Xenopus tropicalis: one gene and its partners. Each later gene encodes a partner of the first gene's protein in a complex. Links are inferred from orthologs where the notes say so. Each region holds a gene or a part of one and is shown on either strand. Other genes may lie near its edges. The genes, in order: med26, med13l, med8, med21, med12, ccnc and med18.

Region 1 (4,150 bases):
TAAGACGTGTCCTTTTGAGAGGTCTTGTTACTACATAAATTCATCATTTTAACTGCATCACCATCTGCTTCAACAGTCCAGTCTTATGCCAGCCTTATTTGAAATCCAAGTGTGTCTATCACTTCCCCTGAGCTGAAGGTCTGGGGCTTGAGCACCCGGACCTCAAGAAACTGTTGGTGAGTTCTACCTTAATATATTGCATTTTTTCAATATTCATACATCAATAAGTTTTTAAGACCCAAACACAAAAACCAAGTTTTATGCAGATGGGAAGCTTACCAATTTTATTTTGACCACCTGTGCATCAACGATATCCACGAATACCATTGTACACTATAGCGCTAATGTCTCCTTGTTGAAACCAAGAATACTAACCCAAAACAATAATTATCCCCTGATCACTAGTCCTACACCAAACTAAGTTGTCTGGAACCCACCACCCCAGAAATGACTGCTTGACTGCCATATGTGAAGATGATTCATCATTTCAGAGAACCCATTTCCAGCTCCCTGCTGTCCAGTGTTATACAGCTTTACACAACAACTGGCAATGCATGGCACTCTACATGGTGATATTTAGCTTGTGTGCAGCTACTAATATTTCTTGTACTGATATAGGTTCCAGAGACAGTTTGGAACTCAGTAGAGAATGAAAAAACTGGTAATGAATATGTTTTAGAGGGCTACGTAGAACGTCTGCCTCTCCATATTTTCTGAATCTAACCTTTGTCTCTGAGATAAGGTTACAAGACAAACTAAATAAAACAAAACCCAGACAATTCTAACATATGCAGGTTGCAGGGCTGAAATAAGTGTAACCTGATTTCACTTGAATATATGGCAATATGTGTAGCACTTCTAGCTAACTTTTCTAAACAAACGTTCGATTCTTTTTCCTGCAAACTTACTCGTATGACTTATGAACTACAACTCCCAGAATTCCACAAAGAGTTCCATAGTAGTTCATAACGACCCACGGGTCGCTCTGTTTCAGTGTCGCTGACTGAGGTGATGTAGTTAAATAAGCCCCTCCTTCCAGCTAGGCTTATAGTCTACTGCACAAAAGTTGCAGGGTAGACAACAGTGTTTATTTTAAGTGATGCATCTTGCCTAGTAACAACTCAGGTGCCTAAAGGCTAGCAGGCGCACGGGCTGCCCCCTCTCTCCATGGATACCGAAGACGAATGACAGCTTTAAGTCGTGTCTGACACTTCCTACTGAGGGGGAAGATGAGAGACGTTCGTGCGTGACGTACGTGCTACCTAGGGGGACTGTGACGCCAGGACGCCGCTACCGTCACGTCACAAAGCGTGCAGCGGCGGACTTCCCGGCGTGCCTCGGGACTCCCGGTCGCTCGACTCCATCGGGAGAGACGCGTCTGGGAGTCTCCGGCTTTCTCGCTTCTTCGCTGCTCTCCCTGCGCCCGGGAACTCGTGTTCCTTCCTCCCAGGGAACATGCCGCGCCGCCCTCCGCAGTGATCCCCGGACTGAGGCCATGACAGCCGCTCCGGTAACCCCGCGGGAGATCAGGGAGAGGCTGCTGCAGGCCATCGATACGCAAAGCAACGTGAGTCAGGGGGGACAGGGAGTGGAAAGAGCGCAACACGGGGTTTCGGCACTTGATGAAACCCTCTGAACCAGCAGTGAGAAGCTAGACTAGGGACGACCGGGAAAGGGCTGACGGAGAGTGACTGGAGGCTGCTGTGACACTATCCCTTGATTATGGGTGGTTGGTGGCTAAGGGCTGGGGAAAAGAGAGGTGTCGTTACTCTGGAATGCACTTTTTGGCTCCAGGTTATTAGTTGAGGGTCACATGAGGCTGGGAAAGACCGAGTCCCCTGGAGCCAGAACGTGCAAGAGCCTTAGGGTGGTGGAGGCAGTGGCACTGACCATGCCGGGAGCTGAGAAGCCCACAGTGGAGTGCTATAGGTAAGGCAGAGCTCGATAGGAACAGCTAGTTGAGAGCCCCTTCTCTGTGGGTAGGTGAGAGACGAGTATAAAGCCTGAGAGCTGAGCAGGAAGTGGGCAACTGGGGAATGGAGGATTATGGGTCCCGGCGTTTATCTGGGGTTGCAGTCCTTTGTAGCAGGGACCCCTGGCGCTTGTTTTAGGCCATCTCGCGTTCTTAATCCGACTCTGTATATTCGAGCACATCCGTCCTTACTTTGTAGGCGAGGTCGGGGATAGGGCCTAGTCGCGGCCTTAAGTTAGCAGACTGCCCTTGTAGGCACCGGCACATGTCAGACTGCTGGCTAGGCTTGCGATGCCCGAGTCGGTGGGACTGCCAAAACACACTCCTTTGGCATATTCTTATGTTCCTGGCAGTGCAGATGTGTGCTTGTGGGGACAGGGTGCATTTATCTCATGTTGTTGGCATTACTCTGGTGTGGGCAGGCGGTGTGCTTGTTAAACTGAGAGATCTGTTCTCAAAGAAACAGAACAGGGAAAGTTCAGAATGCTATTTATTGTATTTCATTTAGAGATTTGTCATGGGTCCTTATGTGACCGATTTATCTTTGACTGAAGTGTATGGCATTTATAACTGCATTATATACAGACCTGTTGTTGTATGTGCTGTTATATTTGAGGTGTAACAACTCCCACAAATTAGAAGGCCAAGTAATTTGCAGTCAGCAATACAATTTATTGGTATGTCTCAAATTTGTAAAAGCTTTCACTGTTGTTTACAGTATATAATCTACTGCACTTTCTATCTTCTCTTGATACTTATTTTAGCATTGGCAGGATGCGTCGGCACCTATAGAGTTTAATTCTGCAAAGCACTTATGTAGCAAAAGTTTGAAGTACATTGCAGGATAAGATTTGTAACCATTATTAACATGTATCTATAAAGCATAATCTCTTTGTAAACAACTTCTGAAGTTTGAGGGTTTTTTTTACTGAAGCCTTTACTATAAAGAGTGAACACTACTATTAAATTGATAATAATCTATTGCTGAAAACCTACTTTCAGTTATAGCTTTAAATACATGTGTATTTCCTGTATCACTGGAGATATACAGCTTGTACATTTAGAAAGGATTTGGACCTTTTAATGCCAGAAGCATCTCAAAGTTATTTTGGGGTGAGGGACACATGGGTATGTACATACTGAATTAATTTGTGTCTTTAATGCTGACACATACCTTCTGAAAGTCTGTATTTGGTAGCTGTACTTTTGAAAGGCCTGTGTCTGCATGGGAATTTTTAAGCTGTAGGTAAACAAAAGCACATGTAAAAATAGATTTAGGCAACTGTGATAAAGGATCCTGGTTTCCAGAAAAGCATATATTGTTTAGGTTGGGTATGCTTTATATTAGAATTGATTTGTAATTTTTTAATATCTCACAAATAGTTAAATATTTATTGCGCTGTATTACACAGGTGTGAAAAATAACAACTAAAGGTGCTGAGCAGTACAGAGCTAGGGCTCTTTGATAGATGCATTAGAGGAAGGTACTTGTAAGTGTTGTTCCTTTCTTTCAGTAACCACTTTTGGGAGTGTTCGGGAAAAAAATCAGTAAATCGCTACACCTTTGGCTTTAGGTATAGTAGTAGCCCTATTGTAATCAGTTTGTTAGCCTGCAGAATTGTTCAGCAATTTTTAACCCTGGTTGCTACTTTGACCCTTTTAATGTTTTTGCATTTTCACTGGAGAACTCCTTATGAATCTCATATGATGTTATTGTGTAGTGCACAACATGTTTTAGAATAACGGGTTCTAAATGAAGAATCTGTTAATCCGAAAGACACTGTACACTACACCATAAAATTATTATAAACTGTCACAGTTAAGAGTTTTTTTTGTTTTTTTTTTTTATTTTAAACCCATAGAATAACTGAAAGATGAGATGTTACTTGTTCATGCTTTTTGAGAACAAGCATGCTGTTTTGTGTTTGGATTTTTTTCTGTATAGAGGCATTGCTTATGGCTTACTTTTTTTTTTCCTTATAGCTTATGAGGCACCTAGGTGACCTGTTCATACCTATGGTATGGGTTATGCTTTTATGCTGTTTCTTAAAGGGGTTTTTCACAGTTAAGTTAACTTTTAATATGATGTAGAGTGATATTCTGAGACAATTTGCAATTGGTCTTAATTTTTTTTTTTTATTTGTAGTTCTTTAGTTATTACATTTTTAGTTTAGGAGC
Region 2 (3,500 bases), about 33 Mb from region 1:
GTGAGCCAGATAACTTCCCATCTGCATACTGCACCAGATTTAGTTTTTGTCCATTATTCTTTATTTTTTTGATAAAACAGTTTGTGAGGTTCTCTCGCTGTTTTCCAACCCACTGTAAAAACCAGCTTGATCTTTGTTTTAATAATGGTCCAGGTTATTTATTTTTTTAGAGGTGTGGGGCTGTAAAAACCAGCTTGATCTTTGTTTTAATAATGGTCCAGGTTATTTATTTTTTTTTAGAGGTGTGGGGCAGAGGCTGGTTTCAGGCAATTTGAGTGCCATGTTATATATAGGCAACAAAAACCTGACAAGCACTTGTGAGGTGATTCAAATACAATTACAGTTTTGGGACCGGTTATCCAGAATGCTTGGGACCTGGGGTTTTCAGCATAAGGGGTCTTTCTGTAACTTAGATTTGTACTAAAAAAATAATTTAAACATTATTTAAACCCACCAATATGGATTAATAATTAGTCGCTATCAAGTACAAGGTACTGTACATTAAAAATTTTTAACTATTTGCTTAAAATGGAGTCTATGGGAGACTGCCTTCCCGTAAATCTGAGCTTTCTGAATAACAGGTTTCCAGATAACTCTGATCCCATACCTGCACCTTGTAACAGTATATGTGTTTGTTAATATAATGCCACAGAATACCGATCACCTTTTTTCTCTAATATTTAGAAAGGATATTTCTGACCTTTTGCCGCTCACCATCAGCAGGTGATGGAGGGGAAAGGGGGTTGAGTTTGACTAAAGGTGTGAACCACTCTCACTCCACCATGTGATAATGTAAAAAAAATTTTTGTCGGTGGGCTGACTCCTTAACATTATGCCATTTGTTATACTATTGTGAACTAGCACATTAAGCAAAAGTGGACCGTTTGTAGTTTGTTAAAATAAAGTACTGTGGGCAAATTCATTGCTTCTTTTTCAGCGTTTTGGATAATGGGTTTCTGAATAATAGATCCCATAGTTGTAATTTGTAGTTACTATAACTCTTTTAATAAACACGAGAGGAAAATAAAAAGTCACAATTGCTGTTTATTATATGCGCTGTACAAAAGGGATTAGCTGGAACCTTACATTGATGTTATGACATGGATGTGTAAGTTTTGCTAATGCCCATTGTCTTTTTCTGTTTTAGCTCCTTACTTATCCACATTGCAACTAGACAGCAGCCTGTTATTACCTCCTAAGAACCAGCCACCTACGGTACAAACCAGCTCAAGCCCAGCTGTGCCGTCTTGTCCTACTGGTGTTCTTTTTAACACCACTCCTAATGGCACAAGTACTACTCCTTTACCACCACCACCTCTATCCTCCTCCACATCTCTTCCTGCTGGAAACAGCACAGTACCCACTGGGTTCAATAACTGCCCATCACAGAACACTTCAAGTATTGTGGAGCGACCATTAGGAAACCAGACCACAGGAGACCCAGAGCCTAGCCAGCAGTCCATGCAGCAAGAGACCCCAGAAAAGTAAGTACAGATGCTGTATTAAAATGAAATTAAATATTTGACTTCTTGCCCAACACAACAGCAGTTATATGAAAAACCTGGTAGTCAGTTCTTAGAAGGGGATATGGAAAACAAAAAAAGAAGCTTTGTAAGAACTGTAAAAATGTACTTTTGAAACTGGGTGAGAGAACACTGACATTTCCACTGCAGTCAGTAAGTCAGACAATTCACTCCTGTACCTAGAGATTCATACACATTAGGCATCACTAAATTATTGCTGACATATATATGCATGTTTATGTGTCTTCACTTTGGGCCTGATTAGCAGTAGCAGCAAAAAGCTTTTAAGGCTTTCTATGCAGTATCCCACATGACTCCAAAGACAGTAGCATGTTTCAGCAGAAATTGCCCTTATCCTTTCCCGCTTAGATTACTGCAATCTCCTACTAACTTGCCTCCCAGACTCCCACCTCTCTCCCCTGCAATCAATCTTAAACTCTGCTGCCAGGATCCTTCTGCTCTCTCCAAAGAGGGAACCTGTTCAGCCTCACTTAAGCTCTCTTGCATGGCTGCCTGTTAAGCAAAGGATTGCTTACAAAATCCTAACATTCAAAGCCCTTCACTCCTTTGCTCCTCGCTACATTTCTTCACTGGTCTCCCTGCATGTTCCTGGTCGTCACCTCCGCTCCTCTCAGAGCCTCCGTCTTTTTACACCATTCACACCCACTGCGCTCTCTCGTCTTAAACCTTTCTGTCTTGCTGCTCCTTACCTCTGGAACTCTATCCCTGAATCCCTCCATAGGGAACTCTCACCCACTCTCTTTAAGAAAAAGCTCAGCTGTTACCTTCTGGAGCACTAAAACATTTTGCCTAGTCCTGCGCTTAAGGGAAAATGCCCATACCTGGTGCACTCTTACCTTCCAATTTGTGCTTGTATGTTACCCAACCACTTAGATTGTAAGCTCTACGGGGCAGGTACCTCCTTCCTACTGTGTCTCATACCACATGGCACTTATTCCCTGTGCATTTATATATTTATTGTATTTATTTATTATATCACTTGTCCTCCTTCTGTGTAATTCTGTGTATTGTAAGATTGTACAGCGCTGCGTACCCTTTTGGGTCTTTATAAATAAAGTTATACATACATACATGTATTCGTTTTTAGTATTTTTGTATTGCTTATTTTTTCTTTTATATGCACTGTAAATAGACTTTTTTAATAATAATATTAGTAAAATCCTGTCAAATATTTTTATGATTCAAAGGATATTTTGCTTTGTTTAATTTAGAAGGATTTTTAAACATATAATATACAGCTTGTATTGTCTCTTTTACATTAACAGTGCCACTGAGCGGGAGAAAATTGGCATTCCCACAGAACCAGAACCAGCTGGAGCACTCAGTTCTTGTCCAACAGTAGTTATATACATGGTGGATCCATTTACATACACAGTGGATGAAGACTGCCACCCTGGGAACTACTGGATGCTTGGCCTGATCAGATGTTTTACTGACATGCTGGAGAGTTTACCAGAGCCACTTCGATCAGCTTGCATACTTCAGGTAAACATTGTTTGTTTTTTATGTGTGTTACCATAACCTTTATGTGCTTTTCACATAGAGCTTTTATAAGACTTTTCTCAAGACTTGAATCGCGCTTGCTTGCAGTGACACTTATAATATAGGGGGGTGGTGGCAAAGAAATGATTATTATTTAAAAGATCTGTATACAGTGGCACCCATATTGTACGGCAACTTTGTCGACATTTTACTATTTTCCCAGGCAACTGTCAGCAGACATAGACACGCAGATGTGTCGAGTAAAACTGTTCGTATTGTACTCTACTGCTCATGCATGAGTCTAAGTTTGTGCCAGGGACACCTGGGAATAGCAAGTAAAATGGTGGAGCTTTGCTACTTTTTTCCCTGGGCTGGTGCTTCTCTTATTTTTCCTAAAAAGAGCACTAGCCTGGGGAAAAAACTTACTGACTGAATTCACTTGGGGGTCTACCATAAATGTTTAGCATCCTTGTA
Region 3 (3,943 bases), on another chromosome or scaffold:
CTTAATTTTCCAAAGTTGCATGAAGTTTCCTGCAGGAGATTTAACCTCAGGCAACTAATCTCCCCGTGGGCCTTCATCCTAAGGTTATTGGCCCACGGGGAGATTAGTCATCCGCGATAAATCTCTGCTACTGCAACTAATCTGCCCAAAAAGCCTTTCCACCAGCAATAAAGTGAATTGCTGGTGGAAAGGCCTATGCATTGCTTTGTTTTTTTTGAAGTTGTGCAAACTTGCCTGCAGGGCTGATTATTAAATTCTGTTGTTAGCTGCACTGGTTTCAGAGCTGCCATGTAGTAATATAAGGGTATTACTATTACCCTTATATCTTGACATTTATATTCTCTATATACAGAATATTGAGTCAGCATCTAAACTCAGTAATGGACAGCAGCACATGTGCTGGGAATCAGCAGAAAAGAAGATGCAATTGCAAAAAATGTTTATGGCAGTTTTACTGTCCATATTAATCATAATTAAGAACTTCTTATGTAAGCTGCCATATGTCTACCACTAACTTTGCAGAAGGATGTAAGCTTAATGGCAGCAGTAGTATTAAAGATTGTCCATGTGATTGGTTATTGTTATAAGTAATGGAAAGCAGCAGAGCAGGAAAATTAATTTGTGCAATTTTGCAATATTTGGTGCAAATTAATGGCAACTTCTGACACAGACCTTAAGTGAAATTTGGTGGACTGACTCAAATAGTTGATGGCCCAATGCGAAAAGTACTGAAGCGCAACAATGTAATAGATTGTTGGTACAGGTATCGGACCCTTATCCAGAAACCCATTATCCAGAAAGTTCAGAATTATGGAAAGCCCATCTCCCATAGACTACATTGTAATCAAATAATTCACATAATTCCTTTTTCTCTGTAATAAAACAAACTGTACCTTTTACTTGATTCCAACTAAGATATAATTAATCCGTATTGGAGGCAAAACAATCCTACTGGGTTTAATTACTGTTTAAATAATTTTTTTAGTAGACTTAAGGTAGGAGATTCAAATTACGGAAAGACCCCCTATCCGGAAAACCCCAGGTCCCAAGCATTCTGGATAATGGGTCCCATACCTGTATAGGTAACAGCAGTCAGCATGTCAGAAGAAAAAGAGAAGTGAAAATTAAACTGAATGAAATTAGATGTCAGTTTGATGCTGTTAGTGATAAATTTCTGTTAGAAGAAGTAGAAATGAGCAGACTAAGAGAAAGAATATGTACACATTTCCATATCTACCATAGGTCTGCTGCAAATTTGACAGTGAAATTGCATGAGAACTGGGAGAGTAACAAAGAAATGGGTCCAATTCATAACAGCAGTATAGGGGGTGGGAGGAGGATAAGGTTGGACTCTCGCCTAATCATTATTATAAATTTATTTTTCCTTTTGTTCTGAGCCTGATGTCTGGGTTTATTTTCTGGGATTGTCCATTTTTAAGTCTAGTTGAATTGTTGAATGTGTTGGCTTTCAGTCCATGTAGTTCATGGGGACCATATCTTTTTCGTATGAATAAACCTTTTTTTAACCTTTGTTTTTATGCCTTTTTTAACCTCTGGCAAATGTTTAAGCTGTGAAGCACCCATCCAAAAAGAATATTATATGGTAGTTTGCACTCTTAATTATTGAAAGCAACAGGAGTGTAGAAAGGATCTAAGGTTTTTTTTTTAAATTATTATAAGCAGGAGAAGGTGTTGCATCAGTTGGATTGTTAGTGCATTTTTAAATAGCTGCCATAGATTTGTAGTTCTACAGTGGAATTGCAAAAGAACAGAGTGAATTTAGTGAAATTAGCAGAGAGTTCCAGTAGTCCAGGCGAGATATTATAAGAGAGTGAATAAGAATTTTGGCAGCATCTTGGGTGATCAATGATTGTATTTTGGAACTATTTCTTAGGTGAAAGTGACATGATTTGATAAGTGACTGGATTTCAAATGTAATTTCAGGATCACTGCCTTCTCCACCAAATAACAGACTATATCTTTCTGTAAAATACTAAGGGGCACATTTACTTTCCCATGAACGGGCCGAATGCGTCCGATTGCGTTTTTTTCGTAATGATCGGTATTTGGCGATTTTTCGGAAAATTATCGCAACTTTTTCATTGCCATTCCGAATGTTGCGCAAAATCTGGCGATTTTTTCGTAGCGTTAAAACTTACGCGAAAAGTCGCGCTTTTTTTGTAGCCATTCCGAAAGTTGCGCAAAATGTTGCGATTTTTTCGTAGCGTTCGGATTCATTCAAGCTTCAGTATGGGCCAGATTGGAGCTGCAGGGAGCCATTGAGTCCTATGGGAGGCTTCCAAAATCATGCTAAGTCTGAAAGTTTCGGCCGCCGCTTCCGAGCGCTCAATACGAAAAAGTCGCGACAAGATACGAGCGCATCGTAATGGCTACGAAAAACTCGCAAATCGTATTGGTAACGAAAAAGTCGCGACAATTTCCGAAAAGTCGTAAAGGCGCCGAAAAAAACCGCAAAAAATACGAAAAAGTTGCAAAATGTTCGTTTTCCAATCGGAATTTTTCCAATTCGGATTCGAATTCGTGGGTTAGTAAATCAGCCCCTAAATGTCAGTTGTACTACTCATTGCAGACACAAAAGGTCTACTTTACGGACGGAGTAGCGTTATTTGATAAGAACAGCTACTAAATATTTACATACAAATTAGCGAAAACAATTCCACTCCGCCTTTGCACTAACATAAACATTAATGAAACACGTCTTATGTCAATCTTACCTGCATTTTCACGTTTTCCGCCAAATCCCTCTCCTTAGGGCTATAAAGATTCCGGTCACTTCTTCCACGTTCAGACGGAGCACTTCCGGGTAAGAGCTCGCCTCTGGAAAAAAAAGAGTAATTCCGGGTCAGAGGGGGTAGGACTTGTGTACTCCAGTCTCGAATGCCTATCCGCCCCCCAGACCCGAAGACAGGGGTGGGGGGAAACTTCTGGGGACATGGCAGAAAAAGGAGATACAGAGGTACAAAGAGGGGATTGTGTACATATTAAGTACATGCGAAAGTATACGCCGCTATTTGTAGCCGGTCTGTTGTAGCCACTCCTTCCTTAAAGTGACGGCCACACATTACACGTCTGTACCTGAGTAAGCCCCCTTTGGCTGATTCCGAACATCCTAGGGATTATTAAACTGTGGCTTGCTAGCAGTTACACTATAAGTCACTGCACCAAGCTATGGGAACATGCATAGAGCTGCTGTTCCGAGAAAAGCAGAGTTTTTATTGTAGTTTGGAGAAATCAGTCATATGTTGTCTCAGGACATCCTGTTGTGTGGCTTCTGCTTGCTCTTGGAGCAGGCAATTTGTCCCCACTTGAGATGTGCGACCCTTAAGTTTCTTATGAACCAAATGGATGTTTTGCCGAACTTCCTATGCTCTTAATGAAATATCTGTATTGTGTCATGCAAATACTAAGGCAGATAACACATGCATGTTTATATATACAACTCATGTGGAAGCATTTTACCAACATTTGATCATTTTTTTTTGCTGTGGAAATCAAAGTAAAGCCGGCTATACGCCATAAAATCTGCTTGTTTGCCAAGGTTGTCAAACCAGCGTATCTTTCCCCCAATATGCCCAGCTAAGGTGAGTGATATTGGGCTAATCCAGTTGATTGGCCACAGGCAATCAGCTGACGCAGTCCTTGAATCAAACCTGACTATCAATGTCTGGTGGATTTTCTGGGAGATATCAGTTGGGTAGGCCCAATGGAAGGCCCCATGGCTGAGCTGCCGAATCAGTCTGAAGGGCCTAAATCTGCAGTTTAAGGGCTGTGACAGACGGGGAGATTAGTCGCTGCATGACAAATCTCCCCGATATGCCTTCCCACTGGCTAGAATGTAAATCGCTGATGGGATGGCATATGCGGCGCCAAAATCAGCGAAGTTTCCTCTCAATGCAACTTCAACAATTTTGGCAAATCGCTG
Region 4 (4,112 bases), on another chromosome or scaffold:
GAAGGAATGTTCTGGGCACACAATAAGCTGTACCCCCATACTGTACTGTCTAAGGGAAACACCATGGCACCCCCTACCCATATGTATAAATACAAATATACAGAGAGGGAATGTTCTGGGCACACAATAAGCTGTACCCCCATACTGTACTGTCTAAGGGAAACACTATGGCACCCCCTACCCATATGTATAAATACAAATATACAGAGAGGGAATGTTCTGGGCACACAATAAGCTGTACCCCCATACTGTACTGTCTAAGGGAAACACTATGGCACCCCCTACCCATATGTATAAATACAAATATACAGAGAAGGAATGTTCTGGGCACACAATAAGCTGTACCCCCATACTGTACTGTCTAAGGGAAACACTATGGCACCCCCTACCCATATGTATAAATACAAATATACAGAGAAGGAATGTTCTGGGCACACAATAAGCTGTACCCCCATACTGTACTGTCTAAGGGAAACACTATGGCACCTCCTACCCATATGTATAAATACAAATATACAGAGAAGGAATGTTCTGGGCACACAATAAGCTGTACCCCCATACTGTACTGTCTAAGGGAAACACTATGGCACCTCCTACCCATATGTATAAATACAAATATACAGAGAAGGAATGTTCTGGGCACACAATAACAAAAAAGAAAGTCTAAGCAGGCACTGCCCACACAGGCTTTTCAATACAGATAATAAGGGAAAGTCATATTCAATTTGGGTCCCAATTTCTTAGGGCCCTTATGTGCTAACCAGGGGCCCCAGGGCCACTGTATCTCTATGGAATTATCTTTATTTACTCGCTCTCTGAGACCCCCCAGTAACAGGATCAGGGTTAGAGAGCAATCCCAGCAATCCCACAGGCACCAATAACACTGTCTCTTTAAATTCTTCTTGATTCTATTTATCCTGAAACAACATAGACAGACTGGCGACTCTGTAGCAGCAACTCCACAGCAAAAGTGTAGCCCATGGAGGATTATGGCCCCCCCCCCCCCTTCCATCATAAATGGAATATAAAACCTGAATACAATTGTCCAATAGGCAGCATCGCCCTCTAGCGACCAAAAGAGGTATCACACTGAACGCTATTTAGCAAGTTGGCAGGGAACGTCCAGTGTAGGTAGAAGTACACATGCGCAGTCTCCTTTCCGCCGTTACAACCCCGCCTCTACTGAGGCTGGCCAATAGAAATAGGCGTTTCTCGTTCCTCCTATTGAGAAAACGCCGCAGTGACCCTTAGCCAATAGAAACCTTTATTGTACCAGTTAGCCAATAGGAAGCGGCGCTGAAGGTATGGGCGGCTGGTTCGGCTTTGCCAGCTGGAAAGATGGCGGACCGGCTGACGCAGCTCCAGGACGCGCTGAATTCGGTGAGCGCTTTATCTGTGTGTGGGGTTTGTGGGGTTTGTGGGGAAGGGAAATACATCCTCTCGCTGCCCGCAGTTGGGTCCCATCTCGGCTTTATAGTCACATTGTAACTAATGGTTTATTCCATTCATTGCTCGCAGCCCCCACACTGTGTCCAATGGATCTTATTACCCAGAACCCCATGTCTATGAGGGTTCCCTCAGCTGATGCGGATTATATCGCCGCCCCATCCCATATATATCCCCGTATATCCCATATATATCCCTGTATATCCCATATATATCCCCGTATATCCCATATATCCCCCTGTATATCCCATATATATCCCCGTATATCCCTATATATATCCCCCTGTATATCCCATATATATCCCTGTATATCCCATATATATCCCCGTACATCCTATATATCCCCCTGTATATCCCATATATATCCCCGTACATCCTATATATCCCCCTGTATATCCCATATATATCCCCGTATATCCCATATATCCCCCTGTATATCCCATATATATCCCCGTACATCCTATATATCCCCGTATATCCCATATATAGCCCCGTATATCCCACATCCCCCTGTATATCCCATATATATCCCCGTATATCCCACATCCCCCTGTATATCCTATATATCCCCCTGTATATCCCTATATATATCCCCGTATATCCCTATATATATCCCCGTATATCCCATATATCCCCGTATATCCCATATATCCCCGTATATCCCATATATCCCCGTATATCCCATATATCCCCGTATATCCCATATATATCCCCGTATATCCCTATATATATCCCCGTATATCCCATATATATCCCCGTATATCCCATATATCCCCGTATATCCCATATATCCCCGTATATCCCATATATATCCCCGTATATCCCATATATATCCCCGTATATCCCATATATCCCCGTATATCCCATATATCCCCGTATATCCCATATATATCCCCGTATATCCCATATATATCCCCGTATATCCCATATATATATCCCCGTATATCCCATATATATATCCCCGTATATCCCATATATATCCCCGTATATCCCATATATATCCCCGTATATCCCATATATATCCCCGTATATCCCATATATCCCCGTATATCCCATATATATCCCCGTATATCCCATATATCCCCGTATATCCCATATATCCCCGTATATCCCATATATATCCCCGTATATCCCTATATATATCCCCGTATATCCCATATATATCCCCGTATATCCCATATATATCCCCGTATATCCCTATATATAGCCCCGTATATCCCTATATATAGCCCCGTATATCCCTATATATAGCCCCGTATATCCCTATATATAGCCCCATATATCCCATATATAGCCCCGTAAATCCCTATATATATATCCCGGTACAGATAAGTACTTGCTATTGGCAGCAGTGCCCAGCTCCACCCCCAGGTTCTGACTCCTGACACAATGTAGCAGGTCAGTTTAATACCAGCCTATTAACTCCCTCAGTGCCAGGGGGGCATTGGATGAATGGAGTTGTAACCCCTCCCCTTTGTCTCTCCAGCTGGCCGATCAGTTCTGCAATGCCATCGGGGTCCTCCAGCAGTGCGCTCCCCCCGCCTCCTTCAGCAACATCCAGACGGGCATCAACAAGGACCAACCGCCCAACCCCACTGAAGGTGAGAGACTGCGAGTGGCCCCCAAACTGCCCCGTTACCCACCCAAATGCCATTGTAACCACGCCCACTGCGCACTGACACACCCCCAGCACTGACTACCAGACCAGCACACAAAGGGTGTGAAACTGTCTGTCACTGCTCTGTGTGTATCAGCCAATGCGTTTATAGACACGGGGTAGGAGTACCGGGAAATACACTCCCCCGTGCACAGGAAGCAGAGACAGTCACACGGGTACCAGGAAATACACTCCCCCGTGCAAAGGAAGCAGAGACAGTCACACAGGTACCGGGAAATACACTCCCCCGTGCAAAGGAAGCAGAGACAGTCACATGGGTACCGGGAAATACACTCCCCCGTGCACAGGAAGCAGAGACAGTCACATGGGTACCGGGAAACACATTCCCCCGTGCACAGGAAGCAGAGACAGTCACACGGGTACCAGGAAATACACTCCCCCGTGCACAGGAAGCAGAGACAGTCACATGGGTACCAGGAAATACACTCCCCCGTGCACAGGAAGCAGAGACAGTCACACGGGTACCAGGAAATACACTCCCCCGTGCACAGGAAGCAGAGACAGTCACATGGGTACCGGGAAACACATTCCCCCGTGCACAGGAAGCAGAGACAGTCACATGGGTACCAGGAAATACACTCCCCCGTGCACAGGAAGCAGAGACAGTCACATGGGTACCGGGAAACACATTCCCCCGTGCACAGGAAGCAGAGACAGTCACACGGGTACCAGGAAATACACTCCCCCGTGCACAGGAAGCAGAGACAGTCACATGGGTACCAGGAAATACACTCCCCCGTGCACAGGAAGCAGAGACAGTCACATGGGTACCAGGAAATACACTCCCCCGTGCACAGGAAGCAGAGACAGTCACATGGGTACCGGGAAATACACTCCCCCGTGCACAGGAAGCAGAGACAGTCACATGGGTACCAGGAAATACACTCCCCCCTATATTTATATCAAAACATTATATCGATTGTTCTGCTTTAGTGCCTTCATACTCGTTTCCCAGTCTGTTGCTATGGGCCTCTGTAGGGGAAGTTCA
Region 5 (3,018 bases), on another chromosome or scaffold:
AAACTACTAGAACCATACCAGATGAAAGGGAGTCTGGGAAGATCTCAAAGTACTTAAGGGTGTATACACCATTAGGCCCTGGGCCTTATTCACATTAGCTTTACATATTAAACTACCACATCCTTTGGCAGCCACTAATTATTTATTGGAGCTGAGCCATCTGTACTACTACAGAGTTGGTTCTGTAATTGGCTGCCTCTTCTATTGTATCTGCTGATGAAAATGCTTCAGTGCATGAAAACATTCTTATATCCACAAATGGCATGATTTTAGAAAGTAAAAGAAAACCAGAGGTATGATACTTAGCATGGATGCCCTGTAGCTACTGAGAGATTAATGGTTTGTTACTCTTTTGAAATATATCTGCAATGAGAAAATAATCAAGTAATGTGTAAGGCAGGACATCCTCAGAAAATTCATTAACGTGAACAGAGTGGCAAACATGAGCTTCACAAATCCTTCCTAGATATGAAGACGACATATAATGAAAGTAGAGATAGCCTGAGATATGTTTCCTTTATTGCTCCTGAGAAATGACTGCATAAAGCAAAATATTAGCTTGACATATAATGATGCTGCATGGTACACAGTAACAGAAGGCCAATTAATATATGTTGGTGAAAGAGGTTATGGCAGAATGGCATTGGAATGGACACAATGACTGCATTGTTATTGCGAGTTTGAACAAGGATGATGATGGAAAGCAACAGAAAATTAACCTTGAGGGCAATAGCATGTTAATGGGTCTCAGGTACAAGGACACAATAGCAAGGTCTTTTGGATAGCAAACCAAACATCTACATTAGAGCAGTAATACTGGGCTCTCAGGACAAAGTAATTTCTAACTGGAGATTAATTTTGTGCATATAAATCCAAACTGGGGGCTGGAAACATAACAGGAGGCCCAGCCTGAAGGCTAGTATGGCTAGGATTTATGGTCAGTGCTTATTTGCCATTTTAGAAAGACTTGAAAGTCCAGGATGAAGGCCAGTTTAATCCCAGGGAGGGGGGGGGGTTATTATAACCACTTACCTGATACCCCAGGTTGGTGCCTCCTGTTAGAAGAAAGCTGCACCAGCCCAGGGTACTTCTGAGCATGCACCACAGAGCGATATTTATCCCTCTTCTCTCTGGTCAGGCTAAAGCCTAACTGTAAGCAAAAAGCGGTTTTTTGTTTTTTACAGTACTGGGCAGTGCCAGCCCGGGGCCACTGAAGAAGTGGAATGCAATCACTCAGTGGTGCTCACTCAAAACTACTAGCAGGAGCCCTGGGGGCTGGGGTTATGATTTTATAATCCCTGGAGGGTGCCTATTGATTCCCCACCCCCTCCCCCCAGTGATTTAACCTTTTCTTCTCCTTTAAGGTGAGATTTGGAGTAAAGGCTTATTTATCTGCTTGGATACCCCATCAAGGAGACTGGAAAAATGAATGTTCCTATTCATCTTTAACCTCATGATGAGCTAAGGAGGCCTTGGCCTGATGCTGGTCCTCAAACGAGTACTTGAATCTAAAAAACACAGCTTTACTGTTTGTATTGTCCACAGTCCAGTTATGATGTCGGCATTTTTTCTTTATGCAGTTGCAACACTGAATTACACACAGAATACATCTGTACACAGACCTCAAACTGAAATCTAAAGCTTATGTCTGTGATACTCTAGACTTGTGAGTACCGCACAGAGACCAGTGCACACTACAGATACACATGGAGCGTTATCACACCTGACCTATAAGAAAAAAACCTCATGTTCTGGGTGTATAAGACAGAGGTATACTACACACTATAGTGTATGAGGAATGACTAGAAGTGCAGTTGCAATCTGTAGCTGGCAAGAAAGTGTCACTCATATACAGAATGCACAAGTCAGTCACATGATGAGAAAACGCCAAATGTAACATTGTAAAAGCCTATGGCTTTCTTTTGCAGTAAAGGTTTCTGCTAGCCACAGTAGGACCAGATACCACCTGCTGGCACAAATCACTCAGTACATACTAGACATGGTCAGAGATCAGATTCAGCCCTCAGAGGTATCTGTTTGATAGCTGAGATTGCACAGTCATATAAATACTTTACAAAATGACAATTTAATCATTTGGTTAACAAAATATTAAAAACATTTTAAAAGATAAATGTTCACAAGACATAAGAACCCCCATAATTCACTAGGGGGGAGGATACAAGATATACACGTCCCTCGTTCTGTGACTTGGACATATGCAATATTCAGATCCACAATTAATTCCTTTTTTTTTTTACGTCACAGAAAATCTGGTAACACCGATCACTTCTAACAGGAACCAGAAACGCATTCCGCTCCTTGAATTAAATAAAATCTTCTAAAGTGCTGCCTTTCTGTCTCATCAATCTGGAGAGAGCCGAGAGAATTCATCCAAAAGAGGTACAAAATCACAGGGAGGAACGACCTTTCAGTAGCGGCCAAACGGATTGGAGTTTTGTTGTGGCTGTGTGCCTGGAAAAGAAGCAGCATTAATGGGTACAGATAAAGACAGACTTTGTGGGTGTTTGTTTCTTCACTGGCTTTGGAACTGCAATGGCGGCAAGGTAAGTTCTATAGTGAGGGTTGCCCATTGTGTGTAGATTATGGTGCCTCAGCTTGGAGATTTACTTACTGGACAGTTGCTGCTGGAGCTGGCGGACCAGAGCTGCCGTTTGCTGTTGTTGCTGGGTCTGCTGTAAACCCTGTCTCTGAAACTGAGAGAGAGATTTGTGAGGAAAAAGGTTAAACTAAAAATGTGTAAAACTTAGATCTGTGAGGAAAGACAGGAAGCCAATGGGAATAAAGTCGCCAGTGAAGTTCAGTAATTCATGCAAGTACCTCCATTCAGTGGACACAGACAGCACAGAGCCAACCCCCACACTTACTTGCAGTGTCTGCATGCCAAGCCCTGGTGGCTGTCCTTGCGTTTGTGGCTGTGGGACTGTGGGGACCTGCTGGGGAGGTGGTTGTGGAGGGGCTTGTTGCTGAGGTGGTGCCTGATTCTGCTGCTGCTGTTGC
Region 6 (3,500 bases), on another chromosome or scaffold:
CAGTTGCTTTGAGCCTTCCAATAATGCCAGCAGTGAGTTGGCAGGGACCTTCCTCTATACTTGCCCCCAGTAATCCAATATGACGGTGATTTAGAGCTTCTATTCACCACCAAGAGCCACTAAATTAAAAATAAGACAAGATATGATGTACACTGGACTTGCAAATGTGTGAATCGTTTTGAAATTTCCATATATGCGTGCATACATATGAACTAAAATGTGATCTGCTTTTCGTGCTAGTACTAAAACTAGATCATGAGAACCTAATTAAACATATGAGTGAAAAATAATGCTTGCTCTTTAATTGAGGAGAATAATTCAAAGTTAATTATTTGTGTGGTAAGATTGTGAACCTTTGTTTTCAGTAACTGCTGTACCCACTTGGGCAGCAATAACACACACAACACTCCAAATTAATCAAATAATGTACATTTTTAAACATACTACAGGTATAGGACCCATTATCCAGAATGCTCGGGACCAAGGGTATTCCAGATAAGGGGTCTTTCCGTGATTTGGGTCTCAATACCTTAAGTCTACTAAAAAAAACAATAAAACATTCATTAAACCCAATAGGATTAATTTGCATCCAATAAGGATTAACTATATCAAATACAATCTTAAAAATCTGAATTATTTGATTAAAATGGAGTCTATGGGAGACGGGCTTTCCGTGATTTGGAGCTGTCTGGATAATGGGTTTCCCATACCTGTACTAACATTTCTTATTCATTTGGGTTTGAGAGAACACTTTGGAGTTATTTCTACACAAACATTAATACATGCCCAGTTATATTTTTGTCTGTAATGTATCTTTGTATCTGTTACTGAAATCATCAAAATGATTTGGTCTGAATAAGAAAATGTATGTATGATAACTTTGTATTTCCAAGCCTTTTCAGAATGCTTTTTGTAGCTGCTTGTGAAATGTTTTAGATGTACAGGCATGCTTTTCCATAATGTGTTACAGTTTTGAAATAGCTTTGCCAGTAGAGCACTCCATAGCTTTTAACACTTTTAAATCCTATTATAAAATTTAGATTGCAATAATGGTTTGTGCATAAGGAATACATAATGAGGTGGAATAGTTAGCTTTTTGCTAGGATTATTTTACTAGAGGCTTTTCACAAGTATGAGCTTTTGGGGGACATTAAAGGATTCTTGCAGTTTGTAATGTGTTGCCACATTGTCCATCCCTGATACCCCATTCCTTACATAAATTATTCGATTAACTAAATAGTTGTGGAAAGTAATGGCTGCGAGCCAAATGGACAAGCTGCTTTTTCTACCTACTGTCTCATTCAAATGCACCTAATAGATGGTATTTCCTGCCCTTTCTAGCTTTGCTTTGCCCCAGAACCTTTTTGTATAACCTTAATGGGTCAGCCATGACCGTTTGTGTATTCTGCCTTTATCCATTATAATATTGATAGAATTAACCGTGGGATTGACTTTTTATGGACTGCCAGTTACATATCATGTCTTCATGAATATATTATACTAGCCTGGTTTGTAATGAAATACATTTTTCTAATTTGCAATTTTACTTGTTGCCTGTTATTTATCTAAATGTCACTATGCATTGTGTAAACCCCAATTCTAGGGGCAGATATAAAACTTCTGGTTTATGTTTTATCAACAGTATGCAGCAGCTGCTTTGTATTCAGTTGAATGGCAAGCTGTGTTTGTGACACTCTTGTGCCATATGAGGTGGGATTGCTCAGAAATATGAAAATCAATTTGTACATGGTAGCCACTTGCCAAGACATGTTTCTGGCAGCACCTTTCCCATTAAAGTTAATGAGATGCAAAAGCAGATTTGAATGCAGATCTTTCTGAGGACAGCAGAAATCAAATTCCCTCCAATGACAGAATTTAAAGGAACAGTAACACCAAAAAATGAAAGTGTATAAAAGTAATAACAATATAATGTACTGTTGCCCTGCATTGCTACAACTGGTGTGTTTGCCTCAGAAAGACTACTATAGTTTGTATAAGTTAGCTGCTGTGTAGCCATGGGGGCAGCCATTCAAAGGAGAAAAGGCACAGGTTACTTAGCAGATAACAGATAAATCCCCATTATATGGGGCTTATCTACTAGTTATCTGCTATGTAACCTGTGCCTTTTCTCCTTTTTTCCAGCTTGAATGGGTGCCCCCATGGCTACACAGCAGCTTATTCATATTGTAGCTTTTCTGTAGCAAAAACACCAGTTTCTTTGCAGAGCAACAGCACATTATATTTTAATTACTTTAAAACACTTTAATTTTTTGATGTTACTGTTCCTTTAAGACAATCTTTTGTCTTTCAGCCTACTTGAACTGTAAAGATATAGCAAGCAGCATCTCAGTAGGGTCACATCTGACTGCAAGTCACCCTAACCTCAGGATCTGTTTATGCACAGCTCGTGGATATCTACCTGGTTAGGGGCATTATTTTGTATTCATTGATTAATATCTGAATGATTTTGTTTTTTGCAGATATTGGAATGTGAATTCTACCTATTAGAATTAATGGTGAGTAAAGTGGTTTAATTGTCCATAAAAATATAGGTCTGCTTTCTTGCTCCTCTGTTTTGGTTTTATTCTGAAAGTATAGTTTAGGCAAGTAAAACACTAAGGGGCACATTTACTAACCCACGAACTGGCCAAATGCGTCCGATTGCGTTTTTTTCGTAATGATCGGTATTTTGCGATTTTTTTCGGAACATTTTCGCGACTTTTTCTTTACCAATACGATTTGTGCGAAAAAACGCGAGTTTTTCGTAGACATTCCGAAAGTTGCGCAAAATCTTGCGATTTTTCGTAGCGTTAAAACTTGCGCGAAAAGTCGCAATTTTTTCGTAGTGTTAAAACTTGCGCGAAATATCGCGCCTTTTAAGTTTTAACGCTACGGAAAAGGCGCAACTTTTCGCGCAAGTTTTACCGCTACGAAAAAATCGCAAGATTTTGCGCAACTTTCGGAATGGCTACGAAAAACTCGCGTTTTTTCGCGCAAATCGTATTGGTAAGGAAAAAGTCGTGATAATTTCCGTAAAGTCGCCGAAAAAATCGCAAAAAATACGAAAAAGTCGCAAAATGTTCGTTTTCCAATTGGAATTTTTCCAATTCGAATTTGTGTCTTAGTAAATCAGCCCCTAATACTTCTGTTTTTTTGCATGATATAGTGTGTGGGTTGTTATTTTTAAAAAAAGAAAAGGCAGTGTCTGTTTCTTGATTTACGTTACACTTTAAAAAAAAAAATAAAAAATATTTTTTAATACAGTAAAGACTGTTAAGTCTTTCAGTGCACAGATGGAACAGTCATTACTAGTCTTTACTTGTGCATCTGGAGCACACAATGGATTCAGGGAGGTGTTTGTGAATTGCATATGATTACATGAAGTAAACATTAACATTGCACATTGGGCTAATATTTTATCCCTTGTTTACAGGATTGTTGCTTGATAGTATATCATCCCTATAGACCCTTGCTTCAGTACGTGCAGGACATGGGACAGG
Region 7 (4,129 bases), on another chromosome or scaffold:
TTGAATGGCTGCTCCCATGGCTACACAGCAGCTTATTTATATAAACTATAGGAGCGTTCTGTAGCAAATACACCGGTTTTACCAGCGCAGGGCAACAGTACATTACATTTCAATTACTTTAAAACACTTTCATATTTTGGTGTTACTGTTCCTTTAAGCAACAAACTCCTTGCAGTACACATATTAGAAGCAGCAAGGCTTCTTTTAGCTCAAAAATGGAAAACCGATCTTATTCCCTCAATGCTGGAACTAAAAAACTTTATCAACCTCTCACAAACCCTTGAATATCACAATGCAATGGGACTCATGGAAGAACTTTACTGAGGCTGATATCCAGGAATTATAGCTAATAATTTATATTATTTGCTCTTCATATTTTTTTTTCTTTCTTCTTTCTCCTTTCTCTTTCCCCTGTTCTCTTCCTTTTCTTTCTTCCTACTTCACTTCCTTCTCTCTCTATGCTCTCTCTTCCTGTGATTCACGTACAGACACATTCAGTATTTGAGATACATATAGATATAATGCAAATCTTGAGAGTTAAACTTTTAGATGCAAAAAAATTGTCAATTAAAAAAGAAAAAAATTAAGGAATACAACCAATAACCAATACAAGAGGTAAAACAGGGTCCTGCTCAAAAGAGTTTACTGTAAAGTCATAGGATTTTATCAGTGCATGTCAAGGCACCAGTGGTTACCACTGGTGCCTTTCAGCACAGATGCCATGAGTTTGATTTTTATCTAGGCACTATCTAACAGGAATATCTATGCATGTCTGCATGTTTTTATTTTTCTCGAAAAACATACAGATAAACCAAATTTTAATTTAATCAAACCTTTGTTGTGTGAAGTTGATTGAGACTAGTGTTGCACAGACCAGCCTAAAATGTCTGGACCCAATGGCTGGGCATGATCGGGCTGGTGCAACACTTTTCTTGTTCTAGTCCTGACTCTACCCATGTACCACCCTGTGATGTCAGCATGTTGCAGCACTCCACTAGCTGGCTACCATCCTATTTATATCTTTATTCTGCCAAACCCCTCCACTCCAGTGATGCCAGGCATGTGTGGGTAAGGCATCACTAATTACGACCCTATAATAGCAGCTCCAATGGTGAGCAGAGGCTTTTGTAAATGACTAATAATTAGTGCTTCATCAGGTTGGCATTATATAAACATAATAAACAGAAAATAAATGAACTGCAGGACTGGCATTACTTGGGGCTAAAAAGAAATGGAATGATATGCCGAGACAGAAGGCTATTTTCTGTAAACGTGACCAAATACTATTTACATTTTTTGATAGCTATAAAATTATATACAGAACACCAGGATCTTCTGCATAGCTGTATGCGTGTGTCACACTTGGGGGTAAGGGCGGGGCACCAGGGCTTGTGCCGGCTGAGGCAGGGAAGACCGGGCCGTGACGTGACCAAATGCTATTTACATTTTTTGACAGCTATAAAATTATATACAGTGACTACTAGAACCATGTTTTCGTATACCTTGCTAAACAAACAGGGGCCTAAACAGACTTTTTGGTTAGAGGGGACAAACTAATACCATTAATACAGTAACAGTACAGTTTGTTAGGCTGTTCTTACCTTGCAGTAAGTACTCCATCATGTTAATAGTTCCTCCAGATACAGGCATTGTTGTGACTGGGGGAGCCTCCATTGCAAAATGTTAGTTCTCTAAATAAACAAAACAAATATATTATACACAATATTCATATGTTTACAATTGTAGTCAAGACAAGGCTGAATCTCCACTAATACTGCACTGCTTATGTTCTACTAGAACCCCCCTCCAGCCTGAACTTGTCCTGAATAAAAACAGAAACAATTGCATTCACTTTGCCAGTACAATGCTTCAGATTATTTTCCTACTTTCCTAGGTATGGTTTAATTTAGGGGTGCACCTAATTCAGGATTTGGTGAAGATTCTGCCTTTTTCAGCAGGGTTCAGCCAAATCCAAGCTTCAGGCCAAACTATATCCAAATCCTTAAAATCAGGTTACTTTTGCCTAATCTTTCACAAAGAGTTCAACCCCGGTGATTCATCCTTTCCTTCTCCTTTAACAATACCTGACATAGCACTATGTGCACAAGCCTCACATAGACATAAATGGGGGTCATCCCACTTTTAGATCTGTTAAGTAGAGTACTACCAGGCTAGCAAAATGTTGTTTTATTCCTGGGATGTTGCTCCCAGTGGCCTCAAAGGTGTTTATTTTTGAATTCCTGGCTTGGAGGCAAGTTATGGTTAAAAAAACAGGTGCACTGCCAAACAGAGCCTCAAATTAGCCAGTCCACATAGGGCCTACCAAATAGCCAATCACAGCCCATATTTGGCACCCCATGAACATTCACATGCGTGTGTTCCTCCCTAACTCTTTTTACCTTTCTATGTGGTTCATGCATAATAAGGTTTGGGGATCCCAACGTTATTCCAAAGTTATTAAGCAGGAAGTAAAACAAAGACTGTAAGGCCAGTCATTTCCTACTGAAAAGACAGCAATCCTAGGTGTTTTGTGTGTACATTTTTATGTAATAACTGTATATGCAGAGCTGTGTTTTCTTTTTACAATTCATTAACAATAAAGACACAGAGGTACAAACACGGCAGCTGATAAATACATACACTTACTAAAACAAAGTGCCCGACAAAATTTTGTAAATAAGTGAATGGAACCGGGATGCGACGGGATCAATTACTTCATTTAGAGCACAGCCAGCAAGCTCAAGCAGCTAATAAGTTAAGTTCCGGTGCCTAAGTGCACGGCTAACCCGCCATAAAACAACTCTCCCTCAAGTCCTCAGGAGGCTGGCTCCAGAACACCAGGAGCTTTTGCATTTGCGTACTGCGTGCGTGTGACGCACTTGGGGTGAGGGCGGGGCACCAGGGTGCCTGCTGAGGCACGGAAGACTGGGCCGTGACGTAGCACGCTTGTATGTGCCGTAAAGGAGAGGACGCTCGAAATAGAAGGTATTAACGCAGTCGTGGGGGGAGGGGGGTATTTTGCCCCTTATTTCGTAGGAAGCCAATACGATCTGCCAAAACCAAAAATTCCCCTACTGGTGGGTGATTAGATTACTGAAAATTCAGGACCACGTCTAATAAATACATGTTGCAGGGCAGCACTGATTGCATTTAAAATCAATACAGCCCTGCTAGCTGGATTTTTTAGACATGTCCCTAAATTTAAAGTAATCGGGCCACCCTACTACTGGCAACCATATATCTTAGTACAAATCATAGATCTTTACTTGCTCTTAAACCTGTCTTGGCGCAATTACAAATATGTGATAACATTGGTTAATGCTAGCACTGGTGGCTTAATTTTGACTCAATTATAACTTGCAAAAAATATGCAAGTCTGTCCACTTCTTGCTCAGAACAGATGACAATGGTAAAGCTTGAATACTGATTTTTGTCTCTTCAGGACCTGCCCTGTTTGACTCGGACAGCTCACTTTTTGGGAGGACTGTTTGGGGCAAAACTCCCTGCCCAGTTTTTCAAATTAGGGAAACAGGGCAAGACTCTCTTAGACTGACAGTTGCCAGTGGCCGATCACCCGTCATAACCCCACCCCTGACTTGATTGACCATGCCTCCATCACTCACCTGATTTATTGAGAAATTCCACCAAAACCATACTAGTCCCGCCCATCAGTTCCACTTCCTGCTGGCTGAATTCTCTGGATGAGCTGGGGAGCCGGCGGCCCTCCGTACACTACACTGTAGGATAGGAACCAATCAGCAGCTAGGCTGACCTGATAGGGAACTGAAGCCTGTCTTTGCTTGTGTGAGTGCAGGGTTGTGATTGGCTCTCCCCCTCCTACTGTGCTTCTGGAAGGGACCATTAGGACACGCCCACTCTTCATTTCACACTGGACGGAGAAGTGATACAATCTATAGGGAGCTCCAATAAAGGGGCCATTTTTACAGATAGGATTAATTTTTAGCACAAAGTGAAACCAGCACCTTATATTATTTATAATTGCCTACAAAATAAGTGTTTTTCTCATTTATCCAATATGTCTCCTTTAAAGGCACATATATTCATTGCTACAGAGCTGTGGTCACCTTTGGCTTTTCGAAACCCCCAAAACGTAATATACAACAATTCT

What was found.
Region 2: med26 (region 1) and med13l share a complex: the UniProt entries of both Homo sapiens proteins name them as parts of the mediator complex. The link is inferred for Xenopus tropicalis from reciprocal best matches to the Homo sapiens genes MED26 and MED13L.
Region 3: med26 (region 1) and med8 share a complex: the UniProt entries of both Homo sapiens proteins name them as parts of the mediator complex. The link is inferred for Xenopus tropicalis from reciprocal best matches to the Homo sapiens genes MED26 and MED8.
Region 4: the proteins of med26 (region 1) and med21 are in contact, whole or in part, in a cryo-EM structure (PDB 7EMF), measured with the Homo sapiens proteins. The link is inferred for Xenopus tropicalis from reciprocal best matches to the Homo sapiens genes MED26 and MED21. Residues at the interface, in NP_004822.2 of Homo sapiens: Ser481, Arg482, Asn483, Glu484, Ile485, Ser488, Tyr489, Ser491, Arg492, Ser495, Leu496, Ser498, Ser499, Ser500, Leu528, His529, Ser535, Pro537, Thr538, Asp539, Leu540, Pro541, Gln549, Asp551, Leu552, Ile555, Gln556, Trp560, Gly562, Val563; in NP_004255.2 of Homo sapiens: Ala2, Asp3, Arg4, Leu5, Gln7, Asp10, Ser14, Gln18, Asn21, Gly24, Val25, Gln28, Cys29, Tyr54, Leu57, Phe58, Leu61, Arg64, Thr65, Lys67, Asp68, Val71, Leu72, Asp74, Ser75, Leu76, Pro77, Ser78, Glu79, Glu80.
Region 5: med26 (region 1) and med12 share a complex: the UniProt entries of both Homo sapiens proteins name them as parts of the mediator complex. The link is inferred for Xenopus tropicalis from reciprocal best matches to the Homo sapiens genes MED26 and MED12.
Region 6: med26 (region 1) and ccnc share a complex: the UniProt entries of both Homo sapiens proteins name them as parts of the mediator complex. The link is inferred for Xenopus tropicalis from reciprocal best matches to the Homo sapiens genes MED26 and CCNC.
Region 7: med26 (region 1) and med18 share a complex: the UniProt entries of both Homo sapiens proteins name them as parts of the mediator complex. The link is inferred for Xenopus tropicalis from reciprocal best matches to the Homo sapiens genes MED26 and MED18.

The regions. Positions count from the first base shown.
Region 1 is NC_030677.2:112,239,190-112,243,339, forward strand, and holds the start of med26 (mediator of RNA polymerase II transcription subunit 26), read left to right. Parts: upstream 1-1,350; 5' UTR 1,351-1,495; coding exon 1,496-1,567; intron 1,568-4,150. UniProt on the Homo sapiens protein: Component of the Mediator complex, a coactivator involved in the regulated transcription of nearly all RNA polymerase II-dependent genes.
Region 2 is NC_030677.2:145,408,500-145,411,999, forward strand, and holds part of med13l (mediator of RNA polymerase II transcription subunit 13-like), read left to right. Parts: intron 1-1,147; coding exon 1,148-1,484; intron 1,485-2,809; coding exon 2,810-3,029; intron 3,030-3,500. UniProt on the Homo sapiens protein: Component of the Mediator complex, a coactivator involved in the regulated transcription of nearly all RNA polymerase II-dependent genes.
Region 3 is NC_030680.2:88,535,262-88,539,204, forward strand, and holds the start of med8 (mediator of RNA polymerase II transcription subunit 8), read right to left. Parts: upstream 2,801-3,943; 5' UTR 2,742-2,800; coding exon 2,736-2,741; intron 1-2,735. Other genes in the region: KICSTOR complex protein SZT2, read left to right, coding at 2,954-2,977. UniProt on the Homo sapiens protein: Component of the Mediator complex, a coactivator involved in the regulated transcription of nearly all RNA polymerase II-dependent genes.
Region 4 is NC_030679.2:3,066,067-3,070,178, forward strand, and holds the start of med21 (mediator of RNA polymerase II transcription subunit 21), read left to right. Parts: upstream 1-1,312; 5' UTR 1,313-1,338; coding exon 1,339-1,380; intron 1,381-2,932; coding exon 2,933-3,047; intron 3,048-4,112. UniProt on the Homo sapiens protein: Component of the Mediator complex, a coactivator involved in the regulated transcription of nearly all RNA polymerase II-dependent genes.
Region 5 is NC_030684.2:44,426,791-44,429,808, reverse strand, and holds the end of med12 (mediator of RNA polymerase II transcription subunit 12), read right to left. Parts: coding exon 2,886-3,018; intron 2,715-2,885; coding exon 2,633-2,714; intron 2,473-2,632; coding exon 2,429-2,472; 3' UTR 501-2,428; downstream 1-500. UniProt on the Homo sapiens protein: Component of the Mediator complex, a coactivator involved in the regulated transcription of nearly all RNA polymerase II-dependent genes.
Region 6 is NC_030681.2:82,038,208-82,041,707, forward strand, and holds part of ccnc (cyclin-C), read left to right. Parts: intron 1-2,480; coding exon 2,481-2,516; intron 2,517-3,433; coding exon 3,434-3,500. UniProt on the Homo sapiens protein: Component of the Mediator complex, a coactivator involved in regulated gene transcription of nearly all RNA polymerase II-dependent genes.
Region 7 is NC_030678.2:78,266,422-78,270,550, reverse strand, and holds the start of med18 (mediator of RNA polymerase II transcription subunit 18), read right to left. Parts: upstream 2,801-4,129; 5' UTR 2,647-2,800; exon of another isoform or gene 2,641-2,646; intron 1,692-2,640; 5' UTR 1,675-1,691; coding exon 1,602-1,674; intron 1-1,601. UniProt on the Homo sapiens protein: Component of the Mediator complex, a coactivator involved in the regulated transcription of nearly all RNA polymerase II-dependent genes.